Lonchura striata: one gene and its partners. The protein of the gene in region 4 interacts with the protein of the main gene of each other region in a pairwise test. Links are inferred from orthologs where the notes say so. Each region holds a gene or a part of one and is shown on either strand. Other genes may lie near its edges.

Evidence for each region.
Region 1: the proteins of NAB2 (region 4) and RFC5 interact in binary tests that used the Homo sapiens proteins (3 or more experiments, as listed by UniProt). The link is inferred for Lonchura striata from reciprocal best matches to the Homo sapiens genes NAB2 and RFC5.
Region 2: the proteins of NAB2 (region 4) and TCEANC interact in binary tests that used the Homo sapiens proteins (3 or more experiments, as listed by UniProt). The two-hybrid records come from large-scale screens. The link is inferred for Lonchura striata from reciprocal best matches to the Homo sapiens genes NAB2 and TCEANC.
Region 3: the proteins of NAB2 (region 4) and MORF4L1 interact in binary tests that used the Homo sapiens proteins (3 or more experiments, as listed by UniProt). The two-hybrid records come from large-scale screens. The link is inferred for Lonchura striata from reciprocal best matches to the Homo sapiens genes NAB2 and MORF4L1.

Annotation. Positions count from the first base shown.
Region 1 is NC_134620.1:3,082,947-3,090,896, forward strand, and holds RFC5 (replication factor C subunit 5), read right to left. Parts: upstream 3,008-7,950; 5' UTR 2,958-3,007; coding exon 2,926-2,957; intron 2,819-2,925; coding exon 2,754-2,818; intron 2,660-2,753; coding exon 2,523-2,659; intron 2,310-2,522; coding exon 2,230-2,309; intron 2,022-2,229; coding exon 1,948-2,021; intron 1,812-1,947; coding exon 1,652-1,811; intron 1,549-1,651; coding exon 1,467-1,548; intron 1,388-1,466; coding exon 1,258-1,387; intron 1,083-1,257; coding exon 1,005-1,082; intron 919-1,004; coding exon 864-918; intron 728-863; coding exon 631-727; 3' UTR 452-630; downstream 1-451. UniProt on the Homo sapiens protein: Subunit of the replication factor C (RFC) complex which acts during elongation of primed DNA templates by DNA polymerases delta and epsilon, and is necessary for ATP-dependent loading of proliferating cell nuclear antigen (PCNA) onto primed DNA.
Region 2 is NC_134604.1:99,181,742-99,189,551, reverse strand, and holds the start of TCEANC (transcription elongation factor A N-terminal and central domain-containing protein), read right to left. Parts: upstream 3,002-7,810; 5' UTR 2,979-3,001; coding exon 2,924-2,978; intron 2,894-2,923; exon of another isoform or gene 2,662-2,893; intron 1-2,661.
Region 3 is NC_134613.1:23,960,861-23,968,085, forward strand, and holds the start of MORF4L1 (mortality factor 4-like protein 1), read right to left. Parts: upstream 3,002-7,225; 5' UTR 2,875-3,001; coding exon 2,817-2,874; intron 1,187-2,816; coding exon 1,140-1,186; intron 1-1,139. Other genes in the region: ADAMTS7 (A disintegrin and metalloproteinase with thrombospondin motifs 7), read left to right, coding at 5,370-5,544, 6,187-6,530. UniProt on the Homo sapiens protein: Component of the NuA4 histone acetyltransferase (HAT) complex which is involved in transcriptional activation of select genes principally by acetylation of nucleosomal histones H4 and H2A.
Region 4 is NC_134629.1:5,746,483-5,753,801, forward strand, and holds NAB2 (NGFI-A-binding protein 2), read left to right. Parts: upstream 1-4,315; 5' UTR 4,316-4,374; coding exon 4,375-5,169; intron 5,170-5,389; coding exon 5,390-5,523; intron 5,524-5,991; coding exon 5,992-6,043; intron 6,044-6,206; coding exon 6,207-6,339; intron 6,340-6,425; coding exon 6,426-6,626; intron 6,627-6,719; coding exon 6,720-6,814; downstream 6,815-7,319. Other genes in the region: NEMP1 (nuclear envelope integral membrane protein 1), read right to left, coding at 627-748, 1,299-1,659. UniProt on the Homo sapiens protein: Acts as a transcriptional repressor for zinc finger transcription factors EGR1 and EGR2. Isoform 2 lacks repression ability.

The DNA of each region.
Region 1 (7,950 bases), on a different chromosome or scaffold from region 4:
CAATCAATAAAAATTGATTCCACATGATTTCCCTCCTGGCTTGCTCGGGTGACCTGGGAGTGCCTGGCACCGCCCTGGCTGCCAGGGAAGTGGTGTGGCAGAAATGGTTGGCCAGAAGTGTCCATCTGTGGGAAGAGGTGGCTTCACTCCACCCCCTGCTCCCATTCCTCTGTTGTTTTCTCTCCGTGCTGGAGTGTGGCACTCAATCAACCAAATTCCCAGACATGCTGAGCATGCAGCAGTGTTTTGTTTGTCCCCATCCTCCAGCTTAGCTGGTGGCTGGAGCAACAGCACATTCCCTGTGTGCTGGCAGGCTTTGTGGAGGTAATTCTCCTTCAAACATCTCCAGGATGTTGTTTATCCCTTGGGAACAGCTGAACACAGAAAGCTGGTGCACCCCTCACCCCCCACCTCCCTTCAGGAGGGAGAAGCAAAGACCAGTGCAACCTGCTGGGCTTTGGAGGCACCTGTATTTTCCCATTGGGAATAATGCTACCTTTTAACAACCTTTTTACCCTGACTGTGCACTCAAGGCTTCCAAAAAGGATCTGGGAAGCTGCAGGGAGCAGCTCCAGGCATGGTGCTGATGGTCCTTCCCAAATCCAGCAGCAGATCCAGGATCAGGCAGGATCAGGCTTCAGCCACCACCAGGTCCCTGGTGACCTGGAAGGCGGCGATGAGGGAGCTCAGCTGGATCTTCTCACTGGTGCCAGCAGCCAGGCGGTACCTGGAGGGGGCCAAGGGCAGCTTTGGGGGTTTCCACCACTGTGGGTGCCCCCCAAAACCACAGGCTGTGTGCCAGCAGTGCCCAGCCACCACCAGGAGCCACCCCAGGGTGCCCACACTGTGGGAGTGACACTTACTCGATGTCTGCCAGCTTGATCAGCAGCTGGATGCGGATGGAGGGGGGGAAGTCGACTGTGGAGAGAAAAAAAAACACTCAGTGAGGGGCAGGAGGAAGTGTGGCCTCTCCAGAATCATCCGGAGCCAGACCCTTTCCCCACCTCTGTGCACGAAGAGATGGATCTCAGTGAGGATGTCCTGCAGGGCCAGGCCCTTCAGCGTCTTCAGCTCCATGATTTCTGGGATGAGAGCGAGTCAAGGCCCTGCTTCCAGGCGTTTCCCTGCCAGATCTGCTATGAAGAACATCCCTGAGGGGCCTCCCCAGTGAGCAGCACCCACCCCAGAGGCCACAGAGATCCCTGAGAAAGAGCAGGGTTTATCCCAGCTGGAAATAACCCCCAGGGTAGAGGATACTGCGGTAGGCAGTGGAAAAATCCTGGTTCAGCATCCAGTCGAGGATGTTGGTGATGTCAGACTTGAGGGGATGTCCCGTGCAGGTGTAAACGTTCTCCTCTGTCACCTTCCCAAAGGCCATGGAGGTGCTCTGAGGAAGAGGAGGGAACAGGAAGGATGAAGAGGCCGCTCCAGCTCAGCTGGCCAGGGGCTGATGGCCACACTCCCACCTGCAAGATGTTGAGGGCTCTGCGCATGTCCCCGCTCGAGAGGGTCACCAGAGCCTTCATCCCGTCCTCGGTCACATCCACCCTGGAAAACAACCCCCGGGGAAGTGGAACCGTGGGAATCCAGCCTGCTGCTCCTCCCTGGCAGGGAAGGGGGCAGAGGGGGCGTGGGGGGACCCCCCGCTCACCCCTCCTCCTGGATGACGTGCTGGAGCCGCGGCACCATCAGCTCCGGGGTCAGGGGGCCGAAGCGGAAGCGGGTGCAGCGGGATTGCAGGGCGGGAATGATCTTGGACAGGTAGTTGCAGATGAGGCAGAACCGGGTGTTTTCTGTGAACTTCTCGATCACTGCAAAAAGGACGGAGGGGAGGAGGGTCCTTGGCTGCTGCCTCGTCCTGATTCCCACCCTGTGCCGGGCTGGATGAGGCCGATGGCTGCCCACAGTGTGGGATCCATGCGGTGTGGGATTCCCAGTGCCCCTCACCTCTCCTCAGGGCGTTCTGAGCATCCTGGGTCATGGCATCGGCTTCATCCAGGATGACAAGCTTGAAGCCTTTCCTAGGAAAAGAGGGGTTTGGAGAAGGGGGAGCTGGGATGTTTGTTCCCAGCCCGACTCCTGGGAAGCCCTTCTTGCATCCTCACCCTGCCTGCTTGCTGGGCACCCACCCACCGCGGGACCTCCCAAATCCCCTTCCCAATCCAAGTGCCAGGGCAGGAGGGCACCAAAGAGATGGGGAGCTTTGGGAAGCACAGACCCACCACGTACTTAAAGATGGTCCTGGTGCTGGCGAAGCTCAGGATGGGCCCTCGGACGATGTCGATGCCCCGGTCATCGGAGGCGTTGAGCTGGAAGGGAATGGTGTGGATCTGTATCCCTGCATCCCATCCCTCCATGCCATGCCATGCCATGCCATGCCATGCCATGCCATGCCATGCCATGCCATGCCATGCCATGCCATGCCATGCCATGCCATGCCATGCCATGCCATCCCACCCCACCCCACCCCACCCCACCCCATCCCATCCCATCCCATCCCATCCCATCCCATTCCCGCTCACCTCCAGCACCATGGAGCCGAACTCCCGCTCCCGGTAGAGCTGCCGGGCACAGGCCAGGATGGTCGATGTCTTCCCGGTACCGGGCGGCCCATAGAGGAGCAGATGGGGGAGCCGGTCCTCGCTGATGAAGCGTTGCACTGCGGGATAACAACGGGATAACAACGGGATAACGGGGCTGGGGGACAGCCGGGACCGGCGGGGATGGTCACCGCGGGGAGAGAGCTTCATTACCGGTGCTGAGGATGTCCCGGTGAGACACCAGCTCGGACAGCGCCTGCGGACGGTACTTCTCCACCCTGCAGCGGGGATAGAAAGGAGCGGGAGTGAGCCGCGGGGCAGTCCCGCCGCGCTATCCCGGTGTCCCGGTGTCCCGGTGTCCCGGTGCCCCCGCTCCCGGCCGTACCACGGCAGGTTGGCGCTGCCCGCCGGCGCCATGTCGGGAAGTCTCGCGAGAGCGCCGCCGAGCGCGCGGGAGCGGCGGGAGCGGCGGGGCGGGGCCGGCCTGAGGGGACGGGCGGGTCTCGCCGGAGCGGGGAGGTCCCGGCTGCGAGTCCCGAGATTCCGGGCATCCAGCGCCATCCCTGCCCTGCTCCCCTCCCAGGCAGCGATCCCTCCCCAGTATCCATCCATTCCCCGTGTCTTAGTAGAGGATGGTTTAATTTTCTTCATTAAGAGGCCATTTCATAGCGCCTGGCAGGGCCAGATGTCCCCGGGCACCGCTGGGAGACCTCAGCTCCAGGGCTCCCACCCTCCCAGGGAACAATTCCCAATTCCAAATATCCTATCCAGCCTGCCATTCCCTGTGTCCCATCCCTCCATCCCTTGTCCCCAGTCCCTCTCCAGCTCTCCTGGAGCCCCTTTAGGCCCTGGAAGGGCTCTGAGCTCTCCCTGGAGCTTCTCCTCTCCAGGTGAGCACCCCCAGCTCTCCCAGCCTGGCTCCAACCCTTGGATCAGCTCTGGTTCCTCCTCTGGTCTCACTCCAGCAGCTCCAGGTTGTCCCTGTGCCTGCCCAGGGCTGGGCACAGCATTCCCACTGGAATCTCACCTGAGTGGAGAGGGAGAATCCCCTCATCCTGCTGTCCCTGGGGCTGGAACGAGCTGACCTTTAAGGTCCCTTCCGACCCAACCTGCTCCATGATTCTGTGGTTGTGGGAAGAGCACAGTGAATGTTCAGAGCAGAGTGGTGCCTGTGATCCTGGGGAAATCACGGCAGCAGGAATTGCTGGATCGAGGTTTTGGGAAAGCACATTGCACCTGCCCTGGGAAAGCCGATGGGATGAGAGGGACACCTTTGGGTGCAGGGACATCCGAGGAGAGCAGATTTGGGATCCTCCCAGTGTGACAGGAGCAGCAAACTCTAGAGGTGGCTGCCAGCACAAAACAACTGTAATCTTCATCCCTGTCCCTGCTGTCTCCCAGTGCCTCTGGAAAACCCCTGGAGCCTCCTTTAGAGAAGCAGCTTAGAGAGCAGAATCAGCCCAGGCTGCTGCAGCGATGCTCCGGTGCTGATCCCAGAAAGGAAAGCAGGCAGGAGTGAGAGGCACTGCCTTGGAAAACGCAGGTGGAGTGAGGATGGGAAGCAATCCCTTGGGAAGTGGAGGTACAGGGCAGGCAAAAAAAATCCCTAGAAAAATGCTGTTGCTGACAAAGGAAGTGAAAACATCAAGAGCTCCAAGCTGAATCCTATAAAAACACAAAAATCTGCTGGAGGGCACCTTCTCTCCTGATTGTTTTCCCTTTTTTCCCCCCTGCAGCCCCACAAAGGAAAGCAGGAGCTGGAAGCTGAGGTCAGCAGCCTCAGCTGTCCCTCTGGGCGCGTGATAGCCGTGACAGATGGCCCTTCCCTTCGGAGCCTCCAGGTCCTTCCCGGGCACCTGGGAACAGCCGGGAGCTGGGATTTTCCTGCACGTCCTGGATCCAGAGCTGCTGCTCTCCCCTGGAGCTGCCTTCGCCTGGGGCAGGCTCTTGTCCTCCTACATGGATTTTTCCAGGTGTTTCCCCACCAGTAATAAATCCGGGGCTCCAGAGCAGGGGAAATCTTTGGGGTGTTGTTTAGTGGGGTTGGGTGCATGTCCTCTGGTTTCCCTCTTGGGTGGGATGAAGGGACAGAGGTGGTGGGACAGGGATGATGGGACAGAGGTGGTGGTGACAGAGGTGATGGAGATGATGGGATAGGGAAGAGGAGACAGGCGTGGTGGTGACAGTGTTGATGGGACAGGGATCATGGGACAGAGATGATGGAGACAGGGAAAGGGGACAGGGGGACAGTGACAGGAATGATGGTGATGGAGATGAGGAGACAGATGATGGGGCAGGTGTGATGGTGACAGGGGTGGTGACAGGGTTGATGGGAGAGGGATGATAGGACAGAGATGATGGTGACAGAGATGATGACAGAAGTGATGGGACAGAGACGATGGTGAGATGGATGATGGTGACAGGGATGATGATAGGACAGAGGTGCTGGTGACAGGGCTGAAGGGACAAGGATGATGGTGACAGGGATGATGGTGACAGGGCTGAAGAAGCAGAGGTGATGGGAACAAGGTTGAAGGGACAGGGATGATGGGACAGAGGTGATGGGAACAGGGATGATGGTGACAGGGATGAAGGGACAGAGGTGATGGGAACAGGGATGATGGTGACAAGGCTGAAGGGACAGAGGTGATGGGAACAGGAATGATGGTGACAGGGATGAAGGGACAGAGGGAATGGGAACAGGGATGATGGGACAGGGATGATGGTGACAGAGGTGATGGGAACAGGGATGATGGTGACAGGGATGAAGGGACAGAGGTGATGGGAACAGGGATGATGGTGACAAGGCTGAAGGGACAGAGGTGATGGGAACAGGAATGATGGTGACAGGGCTGAAGGGACAGAGGTGATGGGAACAGGGATGATGGTGACAGGGATGAAGGGACAGAGGTGATAGGAACAGGGATGATGGTGACAAGGCTGAAGGGACAGGGGATGGGACAGAGGTGATGTGCTGGGGGTGATGATAACAGAGATGCTCTTCCACAGAGGATTAAACAGGTGCTCCTTAAGAGCTGAAATCCAAGGGATCCCCCCACCCCATGTGCAGCTGAAGAAGTTCTTTGCCATATTAATAACAAAATCCAAAGGCTCCTGTGGAGGAGCTCACCCTGAGCTGGAGCAGTGAACCCTCATGGGGTGGTTTTGGGGGAATTAGATGGGAAAGCCCTGGTGTGGTGCAGTGGTGTTGGTTTCCCAGGCTGGAGTGGCCATGCCAGGGCATTCCCTCTCCCTTCCCAGCAGGATGTCATGCCTGGAAGAGCACCTTGGCACTGAGGGAACATTAACCCAGTTTAGAGACTCTGAGTCACTCCAGACTCTTCCCTCATGGAGAAAACCAACAGAAGTCAATTAAAATATTACCAGATATTTTTATATGGACTGATTGTGCCATTCCCACTGCCTGGAATGTTCATCCACCTCTCAGACCATGGCCAGCTCCAAGCATGGGAGCTATCCCATGCGCTGCTGTAGGGTTTTTTGGGAATCATGAAGTTTGGTGAACACCCAAAATTCCTTCAGCTCTGCTGCTGCAGGCTTTTGGGATGGGTGCTTTTATCCCAATGGAATCTCCCTGCTTGCAAATTATTTTATATTCCCTTCCCTTCCCTTCCCTTCCCTTCCCTTCCCTTCCCTTCCCTTCCCTTCCCTGGCAGTTCTTGATGTCATTTCCCACCCCAGGGGTCCCTCTGAGCTCTCCTCACAGCCAGCCTTGGGGACAGGACAGAAAAGGGACATCCCAGCTCGGGGATGAGCCTGAAAATTAAAACTCCTGATTAAAAAAAAAAAAAAATCAGCAGATATCCAGCTTTTTTAGCCATATCCCATCTCGGAAGGAGTAGACCACTATGAGCATGGATCAAGCCATTGGGAATTTGGCTTGTTCTCCCCCAGAGCTGGGATGTCCCTTTTCTGTCCTGAATAATTCCTGAGTGTTGGCCAGGCTTGGCCCCCAATGCCAATGGGGCTTGACCCTCCAATGCCCTAGACCCCCTCAGTGCCCCCCAGTGTCCCAGACTTCCCATTTCCCCAGAGCCCCCATTTCCATTCTCCATCTCTGCCCCAGCCCCCACAATGCCCCATTTCCCCCATTACCTCAGATCCCCTGCATTCCCCAGCCCCCCATTATCCTCCCAATATCCCTGCCCTGCATTTCCAGCCCCACTCATTTCCCCAGGTCCCCCTGTAGCACCAGCCCCACAATGTCCAAGCCCCCACTTCCTCATTGACTCCCCATTACCCTAAATCCCCATTTCCATCCCTGTTACCCCAGATCCCCATTCCCACCCCTCCATTACCCCAGATCCCCATTTCCACCCCCCCCATTACCCCAGATCCCCATTTCCACCCCCCCCATTACCCTAGATCCCCATTTCCACCCCCCCCATTACCCCAGATTCCCATTTCAAAGCCCCATTACCCCAGATCCCTATTTCCACTCCCCACTACCCCAGATCCCTATTTCCACCCCCCGTTACCCCAGACCCCCATTTAACCCCCCCTCATTCTCCCTGCCCCCTTCCCCCCCAGTTCAGCATCCCCCCTTCCCCCCTGGTGCTGCCCTCCTGTCCCATTCCCGGGGTTCAGAGGGAATGGGATGAGCATGGAAAGGGCTGGGGATGGGGGGAAGGGCAGGGGAGTGGGGACGGGGGGATGGATGGCGGGAGGGGGTCGGGAATGGGGGAATTCTTATGAGGGTGGGGAGGTGTGGGGATAGGGGGATGGGGACGGGGTGATGAGGATAGAGAGATGGGGGGTTTGGGGCATGGGGTGGGCACGGGGAGGGGCGGTGATGGGAATGGGGGGGGTGGGGATGAGGAGATATGGGAATTGGGGTGGATAGGGATGGTGGGAAAGTGCTGGGGCTGGGGGTGACGAGGATGGGGGTGTTGGTAAGGTTGGGGGTGTTGAGGATGGGGGGTTGGTAAGGTTGGGGGTGTTGATGAGGATGGGGGTGTTGGTAAGGTTGGGGGTGTTGATGAGGATGGGGGGTTGGTAAGGTTGGGGGTGTTGATGAGGATGGGGGTGTTGGTAAGGTTGGGGGTGTTGATGAGGAGGTGGGTGTGGGTGAGGAGAGGATGTGGTGATGGGGCTGGGGGTGATGAGGATGGGGTGTTGATAAGGTTGGGGGGATGTTGATGGGGAGGGAGGGTGATGATGAGGATGGAGAGGTGTGGGGGTGATGGGGCTGGGGGTGATGAGGGTTAGGGATGTTGATGAGGTTGGGAGGGGTGTTGATGACGACAGGGTGTTGATGACGGGGTGTTGATAAGGTTGGGGGGTGTTGATGATGATAGGAGTGTTGATAAGGTTGGGGGGTGCTGGTGACGATGGGGTGTTGATAAGGTTGGGGGGTGTTGATAAGGTTGGAGGGTGTTGATGATGATGG
Region 2 (7,810 bases), on a different chromosome or scaffold from region 4:
CATTCCTGGCAATAGAAACATGTTCTAAGTGGGTTTGTGTAATCATTTATTAAATAACTACTTTTATGCAATATAGTTCAGTCTCCTAACTGTTCATCTGGATGGATGCAAATGTTCATATTCATATTTCCAATCACTTCAGACAGCAAACCAGTCAAAATAATTCAAGAAGGCTGTGATATCTCCAAGTAGAAACCATTTTTTTCAACATCCTTTAACTGTATTGCCTTATACAGGTAACAGTTTCAGTTAATTTTATGTCTTATTGGTGTTTCAACACCACTGGGATTGCATCCCTCTGCTCCCTCTACTCAATCTCTGTGCACAAGAAGCATTCATAACATTGTCCCCCAAAGACTGGGAAATTGTAATTCAAAATTCCTGGTACATTGAGATTGGTTTATACACTATGATGCTCTTAGAAGTAAAAAAATGGGAACTGTCTTCCCATCTTTCCACCTCAGACAGAATGATAGGGAATTTGCACCTTTTTTAAAAAGGAAAGGTTACAGTATTATGCAAAACATGTCTCCAGCAGCCAGTACTTGAAAAAAAACCAGACTTTTACATGTTCTATTATAACTACAAAATTATGTATAAAACAATTGTCTACTACAAAACGACAAAAGACTGAAAATTCTTTCCCTGTTTACCTACAAAGATGTTACCATCCATGCTCATTCTTGGTTTTACAGCTTTCCTCCACTATTTTGTAATTTTATCTTAATTTTTTTTTCATTTATCCAAGAAGAATTAGAACTTTTTAAACCTACAGAAAAGAAGAACATGTTGTGAGCTGCAGGTATAACACTGGCTTTTAAGTGAAAGATCTCATCAAATTTTCTTACGTCTCCATCTGTTTTTCAGTCTGCACAAATATTGTTTATATCCTCTTGCAGATGTACCTATTTGAAACCTGGACAACCTCAATCTAAACAAAGCTTTCCTGGAGTGGATCACATTTCCTGCTTTCACTGAGCTCTGCATTGGCATAGAAGTCCAACAAAACAGACTGTCTTGAAAACAGAAGCCTAAATCAGTAAGTAAAAATGTACTTAAGACATATCCATCTAAAGTACATTTGTTAACTTAATACTTCAGAATGAAAATATGAATCATTTTGGAGAGAAATAAGCAATGCTTTCTTTTGAACACATTTCCTTGACAAAATAGCTTTAAAGATTATTCTTAATCATACACAGCTACCAAGGAATTAAATTCTAGCCCACTACAAGTAAAGGTAAATGCTAAGTTTCCGATGTCTTTTTATGAAAAACTGTACTGACAAATTAATATAAAAATGGAACACGTAAGTAATAAAGACATGCTTTATGAACTTCTGCAAGCTTGTCATCATTTGTCAGATAAACACTGTATTTTCATTGCTTTAACATTCTTTTTTTTAGTTAAGTCTTGGCTCTACACAATTTCTATTTGTCATTCCATTGCCAGGGCCATATTTAGATTAAGTATCACTGTTGTTGTTTTACAGGTTTTCCACTGAAAAATTATAAAACTTTTTTCCTTTAAAAATAAATCCTTTGTGTGCAGGAGAGTGCATATGCTCCTGAAAAGGCCATCCATTCTGAATGGATAAAGAGTATGATTTAAACAAATGGTACTTGTAAAATATTATTAGTGTCTGCTGACATTTCTTATGCTAAAATATGAACACTTAAAAGTGAAAGTACAAAATTTCTTAATACTTTAGAGCCTTGATCAAAGACCCATGATGCACTGGTTTAAGCAAAGGTTGAAATACACTTTAAATGAAATGGATTTTTATCTATTTAACTATTAAAACAATACTACATTTAAAAGCATGGACTCTAGCTCCTTTCTATATTTATACCAACATATATCTTATTTCAAGACATCAATGCTGCATGGAGACCAATATAAAAAATACATAAAGAATTCCCATAATAGCACCATTACAGATATCCATCCTGTAGCTTCCGAGGTCAGCCTCTTCTGTGAGTGGAATTACAGAAGTTACGGCAGCTGGGAGCAGCAGCCCAGTCGTGTGCATTTGGAAGCAGCTCACATTCGCTTGGCGTCGAAGCCAGCCACAGGTGACAGCTTGTCTGGCTGAGATCTGGGGTCAGGCTCATGCCACCAGCGGCTGAGAATCGCTACTGGAGTGTTCATCTCGGTCACCAGGCCATGAAGCTTGGGGGAGATCAGCCTGCAAATCTGCCTGTGCTCGATTCCCACGACACCGGCGTGCCCACACACTCTGTGACCCAGAATGCCAGGGACATGCTAACTCTGTGGGGTTTTCTCCAGATTCTTAATTAAAATTTCACAAGATCGTAGAATTAATTAGGCTGGAAAAGATCTGAGATCATGGAGTCCAACCTGTGATTGAACATCACCTGTCAACCAGACCATGACACTGAGTGCCACGTCCTCAAACGCCTGCAGGAGCGGTGACTCCACCACCTCCCTGGGCAGCCCATTCCAGCACCTAATCGCCGTGGTGAACAAATTCTTTCTAATTATTTCCAACTTAAACCTCCTCTGGCTCCTCATATCCGTTCCTACTACACATCCCCGGACCCGTCTAGCTTAATTCTGACCCACTGCTGTCCTGCTCAGGGGCGAAATACTGTCCCGCACAGCCGGGCCAGGAGGAAAAGCAAGCTCAGCCCTACCTACCAAAGCCCCGCTTCTCTGGGCGCTGCTCCCCGTTCCCCTCGGTCCCCAGGGCCAGCCGGGGCTGGCACGGCGCTGAAGGGCAAACCAGGGCTGCGGAGCAGCCGGCGGCTTGTGCCTCTGAGACTTTCCCCCGACCTCACCGCCAGCGCCAAGGCAAGGGCGGCGGCTCCCCGGACGCTAGTGAGGCGGAGAAGCCGCACTCCCGCTGCCCCCGGCGAAGCACGCCGCGCCGCTCCCGCACGCCGCGCCCCGGCGCCCTCACCTCCGCCGCGCGGCCCGCCATGGCGCCGCCCGCCCGCTCCCCGCTCCGCCGCCATCTCCCCGCGGCTGCGCGCCGCTCCCGCCGCCGCCGGGGCGCGGGCGGACACCGGGCGTGGGGCGGCTCCGCGTGTCTCAGGAAACAGAAACCACGTCTCGTTGTACCAGGAATGGCGTGGCCAGCAGGATTAGGGAAGCGATTCTTTCCCTGTGCTCGGCACCGCTAAGGCCGCCTCGAGTACTGTGCCCACTTGTGGGCGCCTCTCTGCAGGGAGGACACTGAGGTGCTGGAGCGTGTCCAGAGAAGGGCTGGGAGCAGATGTCCTAGGAGAAGCGGCCGAGGGAGCGGAGGTTGTTTAGCCGAGAGAAAAGGAGGCTTAGGGGTGACCTTATCACTGCCTACAACCACCTGACATAAGGCTGTAGCCAGCTGTGGGTCGGCCTCTTCTCCCACGCAGCTAGTGGCAGGATGAGAGGACATAGCGTCAGGCTGTGCCAGGAGAGGTTTAGATTGGACATTAGGAAGAATTCCTTCACAGAAGGAATGATTAGATGCTGTAATGGACTGCCCAAGCAGGTGGCAGAGTCACTGTCCCTGGAGGTGTTTAAGGACGTCTGGACGTGGTGCTCAGTGCCGTGGTCTGGCTGACAGGGCGGTGTTGTGTCAGGGGCTGGACTCGCTGATCTCGGAGCAAGCTGATCAGCACTGATCTCTTTTCCAAGCTAACTGATCCCGTGAATCTGCCGTGGGATGACCGTGGCAGGTGTATTCCCTGTGGGCTCCTGTGCTGTGCCCGTGGCTGCCGCAGGGTGAGAACGCTCCCGAGCGGGCGGCAGCCCTGGAAATAACTCGCTGTCCCAAGCAGCCTCAGGTGTGCGGGCACAGTTTCTTTCCACTGAGGCTGCCGGCTGTTTTGGGCTTGGATCTGGTACTTGGATCTGGCTGTGGGGCGAAAGGGACACCATGATGCTGCCCTGTGGCAGGGCATGACCTTCTTGTGGTATTGGTCTGCGAGCCCCACCATGCTTCTCTCAGCCCTAAAATGAATGAAAAATAAATGACATTCATGTGATTTGAAACTTTCAGTCATTATATGGTCCTTCTCCGGCAAACATGGCTAGGGAAGGCAGTGTGACACACAAGATAAAGGCTAACGGAGAACAACAACAAAAAAGTTGTAAAACTTCCTGTTTTCAATATAGTACTGTGTTGCTTTTGGTATAATCAGCTAAATGGAGCTATTGGTATACACAGAGTTAAAAAAAAATATAAAGTCTCGTAAGGTTACAGCTTTTTGATATGATGAAGTCTGCTGGACATGTCTGATTATGCAGTAAACGTCTAAAAGTAAATGCAGTTTAGTCAAAGGTATTTGTCATTGCCTTTGTTATAATGCTTTCCTCTTTCCCATGTACTTCCTATTTCATGTATTTCACATAGGTGTTCAAAATTATTTTTTAAGAGATTGCTACTTCCAGAATTTTGGCTCTACAGTAAATCTATAAATGATGCTGGGGTTTATACTCCAATACAGTAAAATGTTTGTATGATTTTTTAATACATGTTTTTGGTTTTATTCACTAATGAGGTCTGTGTTGCCCTCTGCTGTCAGTAATCTGATTTTACCTACCTGAAGGCACCAAATATGTTTTGGCAAGAATATCATGTAATGCAGACCTCTTTTTCCTTATTTTGACATAATGAACATCACCATTACTAACCACACAGAGAAAAAAAGCCTTGCATTGTTGTAGAGGATGTAAAAAAAAATAGATAAATTATTGTAGTGAACCAGTTTATCAGTGCTCATCACTGAGTGATCTCAAACCTTCCCTTGAAAGAGCTGAAATGGTTGCATTATACACTGATTGCTAATGCTGTTCAATTCGTCACTCACAGTGTGTTTGTGCCAGACTCATGAATTCACCAGCGATTGAATATGTGATGCAATGAGTAGCTGAATGCCACAGTTGAAATCAGGCTTCCTTTTTGCCTCGTCTTTGTGTCTCACACGGGAAAAAAAAAAAAAAAAAAAAAAAAAAAGAGTGGAACAAAACCTATGCCAAAGAGTTTTATGAAACCAGTGATCAAGAGTTTGAAGTATGACTGTCCAGAAATGACACAGTAACATACTAGCAGAACAGGATCAGAACCTTCCAGGTTCAAATGTGGCATGTCATGCAGGGGCCTGTGTTACATATTTTGAATTATTTCTGTAGCCTACATATGTCAGGAATTCAGCAGCAGCTCTCTTTGCAACATCCAGGAGTTTGCAGTTTCATTTCAGTTTGGGGCTCCAAGGCTTTAAATGCCAGTTTTCTTTAGTCTTTCTGTACCTGTGTGATTATGAGAACAGTACATACCGAATTCCTTATGTCCTCAGCTGAAAGTGCCTACCACAAAGTCACAGAGCTCCCTTGGCAGGAAAGCAAAAAGAGAACATGGCTTTTTCCTTGTGATTAGCCCTCCTTTGAGATGGGATCAAAATTGAGGGTGCCTCTCCTGGAGACTGGTTCCTCACTCAGAGGACAGTTTGGGCATCTCCATTAAATTGTCTTTGATCCAATGAATAAAATTATTCATCATTATTCCAGTTTCCCATTTATAGAACAGATACAATAATACCTTTGAAGTAAAGCAAATTAAAAAAATATTAAAATTATACACTCAGTAAATTCATACATATATGTATACATGTGTAATGATATATGTGTATGTCTTTGTCTCTGTATGGTTTTCCAGGATAATATCAGTGTACCAGTGATAACTTCCTTGAAACTTCAGTATTGGCTGTGATAAGCATCTGCATTTCTAGAAACATAGGCTTCTATTCAAAAGATGGAGATATTCTGGCAGCTGGTAAAATATTGAGTATCCAGAGAACTATTTGGAAAAATATTGGTCCATCATAAGGTTTCTGTAGAGAATAGTATATGCTTCAAATACGCCTCTGTAATTTGTTTGATTTTTTTAAAATTGTTACTTTTAAAGAAAAACCAACAAAACCAAGTACATGGATATAATTTATTCATAATTTTTAATATATTTTTACTTTATTTTTAAAATTGTGTCCTATCTTAATGGCATAATAGGATTTATGACATTAATTTTGTACTCCACCACTGTAATTCTTCCTGAAAAGCTTTCTTCAGTTTAATTTTTTTTTTGTTTAAAGGTTATCTTGTCCATAAGTCTGGATTTGTATTGATTTTAGAGTTCCCAGGAAAAAGACAAAATGTGGAAATGTGATTCTCTTTTTAAAAAGGCTCCCTGCCTTCTACTAGCAAGAGAGGAAAAAAAAACCCAAAAAACATAATATGAACCATGAAGCAAAGCATTATAATTAAATGAAATTAAATCGAGGCCAAAGTTGCCGTGCTCCCGCCCCACAAAGGAATAAACCAATACATAATACAGGGATAATAAAACATACAAATAACGCAACTCCACACAAAGTGTTTTGAACAGTCATCTCCCTCTATCCTTAATGATATGCAGAAGGGAATCCTATATAAATGTCATATTCCTAGACTCTGAAAATCCACGAATTGGGCCGTATTTTATGACAGATTTCATTTTGTGAGAACACTTTCAATCGCAGCATTTGAAATTTGTTGATACATGCAAAGAGTGACTTCTTGGGTGGCTGTTCTTTTCAAGAGTCACTTTCACATTTTCAGGCTCTGATCCAGTTCTGAGAAGGAGGTGGATGAGGCCCTGGATTTCCTTAGGCTGGTGTTGAACTGATGCTGCTTCTGTGTGACAAGATAAAGCCTCCAGCACTGAGCAGTGGATGAGCTTGGCAGTAATGCTGCTCAGCTCTCCTGATATGGCAGCCCATGCTATTTATTTCCACGTCTTGAGATTCCTGTGCATTTTCTGTAACACTGGAGTGTGCTGAATTTAGGATTATGAGGATGATGCACATAAAGTTAACCAGGTAGTGTTGATGAGAGATATATCCCATGTGTTTCCTGTCTCTTCCTCCTGGCATGAGTTCCAGTACATGGGAGGGAATATACCACCTGGAAGACCTGAAATTGAATTGCCAGGAAGATTATGAAGAAATTCTGCCAGAGTCAGCGGAGTGTTATGAAGCCATCTGAGTAATTTGCTTAGTTAAGCACTGAAGAACACTTCATTTGAGGGAAATTGAGATAAGCAGCTCTCTCTGTGTCCCCTTTTCTGCTATGCACAGGCAGTGAACCAGTCTGGTGTTAATGAGTCAAATATGAATTTGTTGTGGCAGGCCTGGGGTTGTTTATATACACACAGTGCTCTTGAAATAGTTACTTCTGAAGGAACCAGCAAGTAGATCAACTACAAAGTGATCCTGTGTTCCACCACTACACATCTTGGTGGACTGCAATGCCAGTACAGGAAATATGAGAAAAATATATTGGATCTTTTTCAGTGCAAGTGAGTTTCCAAAAGAAAATGCAGCCATTCTCAGATCATTTTTTCTTAGAGGTATTAGCTAATTTAGAGCCACTGACTATATCCATGTAAAGAGAATTGATTATTTTTTCTTATTCCATTACTTGTGGTGACCTGCAGTTAATTTTCATATTCCTTTTGCTTGCACAGTCACTCAGTATCACAAGATTCTTTGCAGCCACCTTTCAATTTAACTCTCTTGAACCATAAAGGCAAACATTATTATCTTGCTATTTACACCTTCACATGCATTTTCAATAGTGCATATACTTAAGCCAGCCTACAAAGGGTACTATTTTAAAATCCTGGAAATTTCAAAGAAGACAAAGAAATTTAGGACTCCCATATATTTACATCCTGGGCAGGAAGATGATGCTAATGATTAACTCACTGTAAGTGAACATGTGGCTTTCTTGAGTATAGTATCTGTTCTAGCACTTTTAAAATTGGCAG
Region 3 (7,225 bases), on a different chromosome or scaffold from region 4:
AAAAACAGATCAAAGGAGCAGGAAGAAAGCCAAGGTTGTTATTCATTACTACTGACAAAGCAGCTTTTAAAATGAAACTCTTTAAAATAAACAAGTCAAACCTTTTTAAAATTAAACTTCAAGATCATTCTGCCAGCGCAGGAACGCTGAAGGACCCACTGGGTACAAACAGCCAGCCAAAAGCCACCTGTGAGCTGGGAAATCCCTTGCAGCACCCAGCTGGCACAGCCTGCTCCTGCAGCACTCATTCCACCCTGGCAAGAGCAGGGCAAGCACAGCTGCTCCAGCTCGGGGCTGGCTGGGTGGCACAAGGTCATTGCCTCAAAGCCAGAAGCCTCCATCACCCTCCTCTCTGCAGGCACAACAACCCTGAGCACACATTCCCAACAAATCCCACAACCTCATCCTTCTGATCCAGAGGCAGGAAAGAGCAGAGTAGGAGCCCTAAGGTGGGAATGGTTTGGAGCAGCCCAAACCCTCTCAGTGCTCTGGGAGAGATTTTAGCATTACAACAACTCTTTCTCCTGAAGAGAGAAGCTGAGCGCTTCTCCTGCCTCCCTGTGTTAACATCCAAAGGATTTAAATCCCTGTCTGAGGTGCCCCAGGAATTTCTGCACACCTTCCAACCCACACAGCCCCAAGAGCCCTTTCCTTCCCTTCCAGGGGGAGTGGGGCACTCAGACACTGAGGCAGCAGGGGCACAAATCTGCACTGCAGGCTCCTGTGGTGAAAGAGCCAGAGCTGGGAAGCAGAACTGGGACTGCCACGTCCTTTGTCACTGCAGTGCAGCTCCTCCTGGGCACTGGTGCTGTGGAAGGCCACGGGCTGTACTCAGCCCCCTCCCCCTGAGCAGCTCAGGCACCAAATCCTGCAGGCACAAAGTGTTCTGGGATATTTCCAGTGTTCAGTGTTCTGGGATGTTCTAACAGCCTCTGGGAGCTTCCCAAAATAGCTGCACGGTGCCACTGGGCTTCCTGAAATGGTTCTGGAATAGAGCCCCAGGGTCTGAAATTGATTTCAGACAGCTTTCTGTTAAATTTAGTTCCAGTCCTTGGTCCCATCTAGAGGCACAGCAGACAGAAACATGTCCTTGTTTTCCTGGGCAGCAGCAGGAGCCACCTGCAGCCTCCCACACCCACCTTGGCTTCATAAAGGAGAGGTCCATGGAAACACAGCACTCGCTCACCTGCAAGGGAAACACAGAGAAACAGCTCAGGGGCCATGCCCACAGCCTGTGCCCCAGGAACAGCACAGGGAAACAGCTCAGGGGCCGTGCCCACAGCCTGTGCCCCCAGGAACAGCACAGGGAAAGAGCTCAGGGGCCATGCCCACAGCCTGTGCCCCAGGAACAGCACAGGGAAACAGCTCAGGGGCCCTGCCCACAGCCTGTGCCCCAGGAACAGCGCAGAGAAACAGCTCAGGGGCCATGCCCACAGCCTGTGCCCCAGGAACAGCACAGAGCAGCCTGGGGGCAGCTCCCAGGCAGGACTGACCCCAGAAACAAATGCTCTGTCCCGGCAGAGGGATCAGAGCAGAGATCCCCGAGATGCCAGAGCAGCTGCACACACACAGCACACAGTGCTGGTGACTCTGGCAGCAAAGCCCACATCCCTGCTCCTCCCTGACATCCCCAGAGCTCCTCCCCAGCCTCGGGGAGCTGCAGCCCCCACAGCAGGCTGGGCTCAGCCACAGGCAGGCAGAGCTGCCCCTCTGAGGGGTCACTGACCCAGGACACTGTCTAACACCCACCTCTGCACCTGAAGCTCCTGCCACTGTCACCCGTGTCCTCTCCTTGCAGGAAGGGCAGCACATGGCATTGCCAGCCCAGGGGAGTCAGGAAGAGAGACCCCCATGCTGCTTCCCCACGTAGCCTGTGGGGCAGGGCAGGGCTGGGCAGCAGCAGAACCCCCTCACTGTGGGCTTTGGAGCAGGATGACATTGTCCCTCAGGCCGGTTTTATCTCCTCGTGGCCAAGCCTCACTGTGTGGCTCCACTGAGGGAACTGCAGGATGCTGAACCCAGGATATCTGAGGGCACATCTCCTCCTGGAAGCTGCAGTGCTTTCTGCTTTTGGGAAGATGAGCTGTGGAACTGTGAAATGCCTCTGTGTCTCACAAAGAAAAAGGCGCTGGTTGTCCACATTGATGCATCACACAGTTGGTCCTTTTATTTATTTAAAAATGTCCCTAGAGACGGGGCTGACAATCAGAGGTGGCATTGCCACCCTCATCGTCACGGTGCTCACAGTGCTGGTGGCAGACACACCTCAGCCTCAGAGCTGGGCAGTGTTTTGCAGGAGAGATGCCCACAGTTACCGAGGAACATTCATTTTTAACAACACAGGGATGATCCGCAGAAAGGGTTCTTTGTCTCCATGATAACCCGGCAGGCTCCTGCTCCCTCACACACGGGCTGATCCCTGGATCCACACGTTGTTCCTTACAACAAAGCTGATCTCATCCCACCCTGCCATGGCAGGGACACCTTCACTGTCCCAGGCTGCTCCCAGCCCCGTCCAGCCTGGCCTGGGACATTCCAGGGATGGGGCATCCATCTTACACTGCACTGCTATTTCCGTTTCTCTTACTTTATTAATCTCAACCTCAACCATCACCTAAAAATCCAAATATACGTCGAAAAATCCTCCTAAACAGCCCGAGTCATCCTTACCCACCTAAACCCCGGTGCTCTGCGGCAGATGTGGATTCCAGCTGTGCTGGCATCCACCGCTGCCTCCATGAATCCTCCTGCACTGGGCTCCCTTCCGGGCGACAACAAACAAATAAAAAAAAATAACAACCATTTTCCAAACGCACCAAAACAAAACCCCCGACACACCGGAGGGCTCGCAGCCGTTTTAACACCGAGGAACATCCGCGCAGGAAAATGAAGGATAGAACGGGGTGGGGAGGGCCCGCGTGCTGCCGGGAGCGGAGAGGAAGGCCGGGAAGGGACAAAGCTGCGGGAATTCGCTTTCCCACCTATTCCCAGCGGGTCGGGGCTGAGCGGGGAGCGCTGGGGCCAAACCCCCCCGAGCCGCGGGGCCAGAGCGGGGCCAGAGCGGGGCCAGAGCGGGGCCCCGCACCGGGCACGGCCCCGGGCCCTGCCGCACTCACCCTCCTGGAACTTGGGCTTGGGGTCCTGCTTGGGCGCCATTTATAAGGGCCGGTCCCTCCTCCGGCCGCTCCCGCGGGCCCCGGCGCCGCCCGGCCCGGCCCCGCCGCCGGCCCGGCCCCGCCGCGCAGCCGCGGCCCGGGCATGCCGGGACATGCAGTCCCGCCCGCCCGCTCCGCCCCGCCAGCCGGACCGCTGCCCAGAGCGCGGCTGCCCGCGCCGTGAGCAGCCGGATCGGGCCGGGGGGCGAAAAAATTAATGAAAACCGAGAAAAAACGGGAAAAACGCAATGCGCCCAACGTGGGGCTCGAACCCACGACCCTGGGATTAAGAGTCCCATGCTCTACCGACTGAGCTAGCCGGGCGCTACGCACACCCAGCGGCGGCAGCGGGTGTCGGCACCCGCAGTAAGGGCGTTCCCTGCTCCGGCCGCCAGAGGGCGCGCCCCCGGCTGATTGGCGGAGTTAGCATTATCGCCTAATTGGCGTAGTTAACATTATCGCCTAATTAAACTTTGTCCCAAACGTAATCCATCAGCGGAGGTGCGGCCGTCCCGGGGAAGCTGTGGGATGCCAGAGCTGCGAGCAGCCCCCGAGGGGGTAATTAACAGAGAGGAGTAATCCCGCGTGTTTGCTCCCGGTGCGCTTCAACACGAGAGAAAATAAAAGGAGGCAGCGACAGGCAGCCCCGGCAGAGGAAAGGGAGTACATGGCGGCATCAGCCAAAGACCGTTTTTTATTTCTGACCGAAAATTCGCTGAATTTTTGTGATTTTTTTAATCGCGGTCCTCACGGCCAGGCAAAAGATGCAAAGCGGCAAGGGAGCGCCAGGGGGCGCCATGGGCCACGCTGGCAACGCGCAAATAAACCCCGCCCCTAATGTGCATAACCACGCCCCTTAATTGACAAAACCCAACCCCTAATGTACATAACACAGCCCCTAATTTGCATAACCGCGCCCCTTAATTGACTAAGCACCACTTATGTGCATAACCCCGCCCCTTAATGTGCATAACCCCGCCCCTAATGCGAATAACCCGCCCCTAATGTGAATAACCCCGCCCCTAATACACAGAAACCCGCCCCTAATGTACATAACCCCGCCCCTAATGCGCATAAAGCCGCCCCTTAATGTGCATAACCACGCCTCTTAATTGGCAAAACCAGTCCCTAATGTGCATAACCCCGCCTTTTAATTGGTATAACCCCGCCCCGAATGTACATAGCCCCGCCCGTCCGGCGTGCATTGATGCCTTGAGAGGCTGCCTGGAACAAAACCGGGCAGAGTTAAAGGAATAAAGCAGGGATTTATTAAATCCCTTCACAGGGTACACCTTGGGCAGTACAAGAGCCTGAGCGTGGCTACACCCAAGTTGGATTCCAGGTCATGATTTTTCACACTTTTATAAGTTTTGGTCCATTTCCATATTGGGTTAATTGTCCAATTGCAGCTCCAGGTTGTGCGGTCCCATCCTGCCGGGTTGCTCTCCTCAATTTATTGTTTGCACTTTTTGGTGCTGAAGCTGCAGCGGTGTCCTTGGCTCTGGGCTGGAAAAGGATTGCTCTGTGTGACTGAGCTGTGAGGGAGCTGCTGACACTCTGTAGGAAGCTCCAAGCTACAGACTAAAGCAGTGCAGAATGCGGAAAATGGGAAAGCTGAAACTTAAGGCATCAATAGAACCCCGCCTCCTGATGTACATAACCCCGCCCCAATATGAATAACACCAAACACGAATATCCCCGCCCCGCGGAGCCCCCAGCCCGCCGCAGCCATGGCGGCCCCGGCCGCGCTGCGCCCGCTCCTGCCCCTCGTCCCCGTGGCCGCCGCGCTGGCGCTGGCCGCGGGCGGGGGCACCGCGGGGACAGGTCCGGGGCACGGCTCGGCGGGACCGCGGGAGGGGCGCGGGGGTCCGCGGGGACGGGGGCGGGATGGCCGCGGAGCGCCGGGGGTCCGCGGGATTGTCCGCGGGAACGAGCGCCGGGGGTCCTCGGGGATGAGCGGGGGGAGCCGCGGGATTGTCCGCGGGGATGAGCGCTGGGTGTCCGCGGGATTGTCCGCGGGGATGAGCGGGGGGAGCCGCGGGATTGTCCGCGGGAACGAGCGCCGGGGGTGCGCGGGGATGAGCGGGGGGAGCCGCGGGATTGTCCCCGGGGATGAGCGCTGGGTGTCCGCGGGATTGTCCGCGGGGACGAGCGGGTGGAGCCCCCGGTGTCCGCGGGGATGAGCGCTGGGTGTCCGCGGGATTGTCCGCGGGGATGAGCGGGTGGAGCCGCGGGATTGTCCGCGGGGATGAGCGGGTGGAGCCGCGAGTGTCCGTGGGATTGTCCGCGGGATTGTCCGCGGCAATGAGCGCCGGGTGTCTGCGGGATGCTCGCGGGGCGCTCGGCGGCGTCGAGCCGGACAGCCCGGTGCCCGGAGCCGGCAGCCGCGGTGCCCGGAGCCGGACAGCCCGGTGCCCTCCCGGGAGCCCCGGAGCCCTCCCGGCTGCCCCGGTGCCCTCCCGGGAGCCCCGGTGCCCTCCCGGCTGTCCGCGCTGAGCCCGCCCGGGGCGGCTCCGGAGCACTCAGTCTCCGCGGGCGCTTTGCTCCTAGAGACGGCGTGTCCCAACACCGCCTCAAAGCGTGGATTCCATTTTTCGGGAGATTTTCGTTGTTTGTTCGGTGCTTTTTTCTCCTTGCAGCTGGAGTTTAACAGCGGGAGTTAATAGGGGCAAGCCGGGGCCGGGCTCCGGAGCTGCCTGACTCCCCCTCGCCCAGCCGGCCCTAACCCGGACCTTAATGCTGTCCCCGGCAAAGCCCAGCGCTGGCCCCGGGGGCAGCAGGGGCAGGCGAAGTGCCTGCTGTCCCTGCAGTCCCTGATGTCCCTGCTCTCCCTAATGTCCCTGCTGTGATGTCCCTGCTCTCCTTGATGTCCCTGCTGTGATGTCCCTGCTCTCCCTGCTGTCCCTGCTCCGTGCCGTCCCAGCGGGCACATCCAGCTGGTGTCCCGGTCCCTGCCGCCGCCAGCGGGGGAAGGGGTGTGGGAGGAAAGGTGAAGAACCCTGCGGGTAACCCCGGCACCCCCTCTCCCCAGAGCCGCGCTCCGGCAGCGACATCGTCCATCCCATCAAGGTGGACGAGCGCGGATCCTTCCTGTCCTACGACTTGTCGCACCGGGCCCTTCAGCGGAGGTCTCCGGCCTCCAGGAGCAAGCTTCCCGCCTTCTACGAGCTGCAGTACAGAGGGCAGCCCCTGAAATTCAACCTGAGCCTCAACAGGCACCTCCTGGCCCCGGGCTTTGTCAGCGAGCGGCGTTTCGGGGGCATTGCCGGTGCCAAGATCCAGCCGCGCTCCTCCGACTCGTGCCACATGATCGGCGAGGTGCGGGGCCGGGCGCTGCAGGGCGGGCTGGCTGCCCTCAGCACCTGCGATGGCCTGGTGAGTACAGCCCCTCCCCACGGAGCCCTAGCCCCTCGGGGAACCCTTTGTCCCGCCAGGAGTGACACCAAAATTCCCCGCAGCAGAGCCAGCATCTCCTCGTGCAGGTCCGGTGCGGCCATGGACGAGCTGACTGTAAATTTCCCATGGATTGCAGTGGTTTGGGAGCTCTCCAGGGCTGGGTTTACTTGTTTGTGTCCGAATTCCTAAAAAGAGCAATTCTCTGCCTGCTGCTACGTGATGGGATTGTGAGCGAGGGGCTGGGAGCTGGAGGTGCTGTGACAGCACAGCTCGTGGGCAGCAGTGAAGCTGCTTGCTGTTTCCTCGGCTCCACCGTCGGTATTTCCTGAGGCAGCAGTGACCTGGAGAGTGGCATTTTGGGGGAAAGGGCTTAGAACCTCCTGTGGGTTTGCAGAAATGGCCCCACGTACCTGGTGCTGCAGTGCTCATGCTCGTGTCCCGCACTTTGGAGGGAGCACAACTCCATGGGATCCTCCATGGCTTCCCACTGCCAGAGGGCAGGAGTAAATGGGATATTCTGGACAATCCTTCCCTGTGAGGGTGGGGAGGGCCTGGGCTGGAATTCCCAGAGCAGCTGGGACTGCCCCTGGATCCCTGGCAGTTCCCAAGGCCAGGTTGGAACCGAGGACAGTGGGAGGTGTCCCTGCCATGGCAGGGGTGGCACTGGCTGGGCT
Region 4 (7,319 bases):
CTGCCTGGCTAGAAACTCTCAGTTTCTTTCTTTGACTGAATCTGAGACCCACATGAGCTCACTGCTCTCTGCAGCTTCCTGAAAGGTGGCTGTGCTCAGGTGGGGTCGGGCTCTTTCTCCAGGAATGGACAGAACCAGAGGACACAGTCTCAAGCTGCACCAAGGCAGATATAGGTTGGGTATTAGGAAAAGGTTTTTGACTGAAAGACTTGTATGTGACATTCACATTCTCTGGACAGAGAGACACAACTCTGTCTCTGAAGCACAGAGAGAAGAAAACAACCTTTATACTAAATCCCACATAGAGAAAACAAAAGAACAGAGATAAAGATTGTTTTCTTTTCTCCTCCTGAGAGACAGAGGTCTGCCTCTCTCTGTCCAAAAAATGTGAATGTCACAGTCAAAGCTCTGGAATGTTCTGCCCGGGGTGGTGGTGGAGCCACCACCCCTGGGTGTGTTGAACACAAGCCTGGGTGTGGCACTGGCTGCCGGGCTCTGGTTGAGGTGTTGGGGCTGGGTGGGACTGGATGACCTCGAAGGTCTCTTCCAAGCCAGTGATTCTGTGAATTCTGTGAACGGAGGGGCTGCAGCAGGGACAATCTGCTGCCTCCTCCTGCTGCCCCCACCTGTGTCCTGGTCCAGACGTCGTTCCAGCGCGGGACGCGGGTGTTGGTGTAGCAGAAGCGCCGGGATTCCCCGTGCTGGGACGCGTGGCCCTCCTGCAGCGCCACGATCGCATCCTTGGGGCCTGGCGAGCACGGAGAGAAGGGCTCAGGCCTTGCTGCCCCTGCTTCACCCACCCAACCCCTTCTCTCCACTTTGCCATATTCCCCACGGTATTTCCGCTGTTTTCCTCGGAATTCGCCCTCGCTTCTTTTCTGGGATAACCCCGTGCCCTGTCGGGATCAGCGCATCCCCATCCCCGCGTCCCTTCTGGCCCGACTCCCAGCTCCAAAATCCCACCTCAGCGACACAAACCCGAGGGTGCCTCCGGCACGCACTCGCCCCCCGAGGTGAAGCGGCTCCCGAACGGCATCGAGGCCCGATGGTACCGGGAGATCGGCGCGGCGGGACACCGGGACACGAAAGCCCGGTCCCACCGGGCCGCACCGGCCCCGGGAAGCGCTCAGAGTGTTCCCTGGGGGCGGAAGGTGCCTCTCAGCGGACACCGGGCCGTTCCCCGTGGCCCACGCCGCCGGTCCCATGGTCCCGCCACGCCGCCCCGGGAGCCGCCGCTGCCCCGCTCCCCACTATGACTCCCCCCGGTCCCCGCCCATGGACGCCACTGTCCCGCGCACCTGCAGCTTCCAGGAGCAGGAAGGACAGGAACAACAACAGCAGCAGCACCACCGGCAGTCCCGACAGCCGCTGCCGCCCCGGCGCCGGTTTCATCCCTCCCGCCGCGGCTGCACCGGCCGCTTCCGCTTCCGCCCGGTCCCGCCGCCGAGGAGAGTCCACAGCCAATAGGAGAGGCGCTCGCCGGGCTTTGTCGTCGATTGACAGTTGGTTTAACCTATCAAAATTCAGCTTTGATCTCGCGCCCCTCCCCTCTGTTTCTGCCAGGTTGATTGACAGAGATTTTAACCTATCAGTAGTGAGCATGCAGGAAGCAGCCATGTTCCCGCCCTCGGTTACCACGGTGACCAACCTGCCCGCCATTCACTCAACAGCCACGCCCCACCCTGGTAACGGCTCTGACAGACTCGCCCCTCGACCAATCAGAGCGCAGGCATCACAAGCCACGCCCCCACCCCTCGGGTATCCCGTGTGATTGACAACCGCCTCCGCCTATCAGGGCGCGGCCTCGCGGTGTTGGCGCGAACGGGTCACGCGTGGGGGGCGCGCGGGTCCCGCCCCTCGCCCCCCGCCCCTCCCGCGGCCGCCGAACCCGCGGGCCCGGGGCCCGCCGCTCCCACCGGCCCGGGGCCCGCCGGCCCGCACGGGGCTCTGCCAGCGCGGCCGTGGCACGACGGTCACCGGTGACCCGCGGCGCGGAGGGGGTCCCGCATCCCACGGGTCAAGCGGCGGCTCGGCTCGGGGGCTCCGGTTCGCCCCGCTGCCGGCACCGTCTGTCGCTTCGCGGCGAGGCTCCCCCAGTCCCGGGAAGGGGGTGCCGCTCTCCGCGCGGGTTCCCCCCCGCCCCCCACCGTGGGGCGGTGGCCACCCGTGGGCGGGCAGCGGGGAGCGGGCTCGGGCGGCCCCCCCGCTCCCCCTCCGCGGGCCGTGGGCGGCGGAGCCGGGAAGCGGCGGGGCCGTGGGCGGAGGATGTGCGTCAGCCGGGGGCAGCGCCGGGGCTGGGAACGGCCCCGCCGCGCCGGACGCTTGGTCGTGGAAGGCGGGGGGAGTGACAGGGGGGCTGTGGGGAGGGGGTGAACCGGGAGGGCTTGGGCAGGACCCCCGCCATGGGGACCGTGCCCGTGCGGGATCCCCCGGCAGCACCGGGGATGTGCCCCGGGCACCGGCACGGCCCCCCGGCCAGGATCGCGCGGGGGCGGCTCTGGCCCCACGCCAGGCGCCGGCCGCGGTATAAATAGCGCCGAGGCACGCAGGGCCGGACCGGGGTGCGGGCCGTGACACCCCCCCTCCCGCGGGAGGGACCCCGGTGCTGCCGCCGAGGGGCTTCAGCATCCCCCCAGCCCACCCGAGACACCTCCGTGCGCTCCCGTTCTCGCCGCTCCGGGGAGCCGCTGGCGCGCTCCCCCCGGAGCCCATCGATGGCAGCGTGTGCGTGCCGGTGACACCGAGTGCCAGCCCTCCGCAAGGGCTCCGGCACCGGGGGGCACTGCCGGGACAGCGGTGCCGCTACCCGGAGCATCCCCGCTCCCGGTCGGGTTGCCACCGAAACCGGGGATGCTGCGAGCGCTGCCCGCGGGACCCCCGGGATTCAGGGTGTCCGCGCCGACACCGAGCACTGCGTCCCCATAGCGGGCTTCTGCCTCTCCCACGGGCCCCCCGTGCCACGCGTGTCCTGCCCGGTCCCTGCCGGGGTTGCGGGACCCCCGATGCCGCCGTGCGGGGCGCCGCTCCCGCTCTCCTCCCGCTGCTCCGGTGCCGGGGGGGGGTGGGGAAGAAGGGGGGCCGGTGCTGCCGCCTCCGCCGCTGCCCCCCCCCCGCGCTCGGCGGGGGCGGCAGCCGCGGGATCCGCCCCCGGGGCCTCCCACGCGCGGCGCAGCCGGGGCCGCTGCTATTTCACGGTCCCGCCCGTGTGGGCGGCGCGCAGAGCGGCGCGGCGCGGCGGAGAGAGAGCGCCCGGCCCGGCCGCGGGACCCCCGAGCCCCGGCACCCCTCGGACCCCCGGCTAGAGCCGGCCCCGGAGCCCCCCCGCCCCTCGCCGGCCGCCCGGCGGGGCGGGCGGAGCGGACGGAGGCGGTTCCAGGCGGCGGTGAGCAAGCGGGGGACGGCGGGAGGGGACGGGGCACCGGGGGGCACCGGCCGGGGCGGGAGTCCCGGGGACCGTGGCCGTGGTGGGAGTGGAGGGACCGTAGGGGGACGGAGCGACGAGGGACACCGAGCAGGGCGGGGGGCCCACGGGGTGTTGGCTACGGGGCTCCGGGCGGGTCCGGCGCGCCGGGATGCACGGGGAGAGGATGGGACCGGGGGCACACCGCGGCACCGGAGGGTAGCGGGAGGGGTCGGCGGGCTCGTGGGGGAACGGCGGCCGTGGCAGCACTGAGGAACCGTGGGGACGGCGGGGGGATGGAACGGCGGGGGTCGCCGGGCAGAGCAGAGCCCAGGGAAGGGGTGACCCCGGTGGGTCCGGGAGGAATGGGGGAGGATGGGGCACAGGGTGGGCTCGGGGCTCGGCAGGGCACCAAGCAGCTGCGGGGACGCTGGGGGAGGATGGCCCTGGTGGGACCGGGGTGGGGATGGGGGCACCGAGTGGGGCGGGGTCACCAGGGAGGGATGGCCCTGATGGGATCCAGGGGACCACGGGGGAACAGGGCACGGGCAGGGCAGGGGCTGGGGGATGTTGGCCATAGGATCGGCATTGGCACATCCCCCCGAGGATGGGGGGGCTGGGGGAAGCCCCCAGATGTGTATCCTGCTCCATGTGAGGACCTGGCACGGAGGGGCTGCTGGCTGGGGTGGGGGCAGAGGCTGGGCACAGCCCAGGGTAAGGGGTAGGGGCTGGGATGAGTGACCCCACTCATGTCTGTGTCATACCCAGGACTGTGGCCGCAGGGACCGTCCCAGCCCGGAGCACATGGGTGGGACTGGGCACCCCGTGGGGTTTAGGGACACTGGAACACCCATCCATGGGAATGCTCCCTTTGCCCTGTACCCCCAGGCCCCAGGGTGGGGAGGGGCTTTCTCCTGCATGTCCGTCCATCCCGGTGGTGAGTCCGTCTGTCCTCTGTCCACCACAGGCTCGTCATGGCCCTGCCCCGCACGCTGGGGGAGCTGCAGCTGTACCGGGTGCTGCAACGCGCCAACCTGCTGGGCTACTACGAGACCTTCATCCAGCAAGGGGGGGACGACGTGCAGCAGCTCTGCGAGGCGGGCGAGGAGGAGTTCCTGGAGATCATGGCGCTGGTGGGCATGGCCACCAAGCCCCTCCACGTCCGCCGCCTCCAGAAGGCCCTGCGCGAGTGGGCCTCCAACCCGGGGCTCTTCAGCCAGCCCGTCTCGGCTGTCCCGGTCAGCAGCATCCCGCTCTTCAAGCTCTCCGAGGCCGGCGGGCGCAAGGCGCTCAGCAACGGGCACGCCAGCCCCGGCGAGGCCGCGGGCAAGGGGGGCGGCAGCGCCGGGACGCCCCCAGCCCGCAGCCCCACGGAGCCAGGGGAGAAGCTGTCACCGTCAGCGGCTCCACCGTGGCCGGGAAGGAGCACCCCCGAGTCGGAGGGTGGTGGGGACGAGGAGCCGGGCGGTCCCCCCTTCTCCCCGGGCGGGAGCAGCGGGGAGCAGGCGGTGGGCACGGAGCTGGAGCCGGAGTTGGCACGGACGGTGGTGGAGAGCGTGGAGCGGCTGCTGCAGAGCTGCCCCCGGGGCGGCGAGGCCGAGCTGCGGGCGCTAATGAAGCTCAACAAGAAGCTGGCCAAGGCTGTGGGGCACATCTTCCAGCTGGAGGATGGTGACCGGCAGAAGGAGGAGGAGATCCGCCGGCACAGCGCGATCTACGGCCGCGGCGAGGCCCGGCGCCGCGAGGGCAAGCAGCTCACCCTGCACGAGGTGGGCTCCGTGCTTGAAGTTCCTGAGATGTGCTGGGCTGGGACAGGGACCGGGGTGGCTCTGGGGGTGTGGTGAGTGGGTGGGATTCGAGGTCTCCTCCCACGCCGGTTGCATCCACCAGCCTGGAGCCGGCGGTGCCTTAGCCGAGGGTTGCGTGGGCGCCGCTGTCCCGTGGGCGCTGCCGTCCCTGTCCCCGCTCACGCATCATCTCTGCCCCCAGCTCATCATCAATGAGGCGGCCGCCCAGTTCTGCCTGCGGGACAACTCGCTGCTGCTGCGGCGCGTCGAGCTCTTCTCGCTGTCACGACAGGTGGCACGGGAGAGCACCTACCTGTCCTCGCTCAAGGTCGCCAGGTGAGCCCACACCTGGGAAAACCCCCCCTTGCAGGCCTGGTGGGGCCTGGCTGTCACCCCCTTGCCCCCTGGGACCTGCACCATGATCCAGCACTTCTGGATGGGGCCAGGACCCTACAGCCCCCAGTTCCCTTTTGCCAATGTGGGTGGTTTCTGCCTGACCTCGGAGCGTGGGATGTGGGGAGGATGGGAATGATGGGGATGCCAGGCGTGGGAAGGGATGCCAGGCAGCAAAGGGATGCCGCTGGGGATGCCCTATCTCTTGCCTCCATCCCCAAAGTCCCCTGCCCGCTCTGCCAGGGTTGCTTTTTCCCTTTGCTCTCCAGCTGCCTCCCTCTTTTTCCGCCCCCAATTCCACCCGTGCCAGATCCCCAGCTTCTGGCATTGCCCTGCTTGGCGGTTCCGCTCACAGCGCGGTGCCTTGCTGCGGCCACCCCCACCCCTGACACAGCCCCTTTCCACCCCCAGGGCCCATCCCGAGGACAGCGGCGCCGTCGTGGCCAAGCGGCTCAAGCAGGAGGTGGGTGCAGGTGCAGGGGGAGCGTGTGCAGGTGTGCACACCTGTGAGCGTGGGTGTGACGGCGCAACGTGCCCGGGGCTGCCCATGCCAGCTTGGGGTGACGGCTGTGGGTGTTCTGGGGTGGGTGCTGCGGGGGACCTGCTCACCTGTGTGCTCCTGGCAGGCGGGAGAGCAGAGCCGTCCCGAGCTCCTGGCACTGCCGGTGGGGCTGGAGCCCCCCGGGGCCGGGTACCGAGCCAGCGTGGAGGAGGACACGGGCAGCCTCTCCGGGGAGAGCCTCGACGGCCACTTGCAGGGTGAGTGGGGGTCCTTCCCTTTCCTGGGGGGCTGGTGGTGGTCGTGCCCCGGCTCCTGGCGCTGAGTGTCACCCCTCTCTCGGCAGCGGCGGGGGCCTGTCCCCGGCTGACCCCTCCGCCCGGTGCGGCCCCGGACGTGCCCCTCGGCCTCGCGCCCCACGGGCTCTGGAGCCGCCACATCCTCCAGCAGACGCTGATGGACGAGGGGCTGCGCCTGGCCCGCCTGGTCTCCCACGATCGCGTGGGGCGGCTCAGCCCCTGCCTGCCGGGGAAGCCCCCGGGACCAGGTGAGCCCCCGCGGGGCCGGCGGGGCAGGACGGCACCGCTGCCTTCTCCTGTAGAATCGCCATCCTGACGCCATCTCCGTCTTCTCCCCACAGAATTCGAGGACGGGCTGGCAGAACGGGGTCCGCCGGCCCCCCCAGACCCACCTCGGGGCACCATCAAGGTGGAGCAGGAGACCAGCAGGCAGTGAGGCCCCTGTAGCCCCCCCGCCACCATTAACGAAGCAATAACGTGCTGGGGGGACGGGTGCGGCGGCGCTCCGGGCCGGGGGAGCTTGGTGGGCGGGGGGGGGTCTCATCCACAGCCCCCCCGGCCCCCTCCCGTCCCACACCGACGCTCTGGTTACCTCAGCCGCGGCGGGATGCGACTCCCAGCAGCAGCAATACCTTCATCCCGCCCGGCTCCGCTCCCTCGCCGTCCCCCAGGGCTGGGGAGCCCTCGATGGACTGGAGCTCCCTGTACAGCCCCGTGCTGACCGTCCCCCCCACCCCGGGCCCGTTCCCGCGTGGGGACAGACGCGTCGCACTGTGCGCTCCCACGTCAGCGCTGCCGCCCACGCCGGGCACACGGTCCCGTCCGCCACCCCCCCCACCCGCAGCGCCCACGCACCAGCCGCCAGCCCCCTCCCCGCAGCACGTGCCAGCTCACTGTGCACCCCCCCTGCCCACCCTGCGACCCCCGCCCCAGCACCGCAT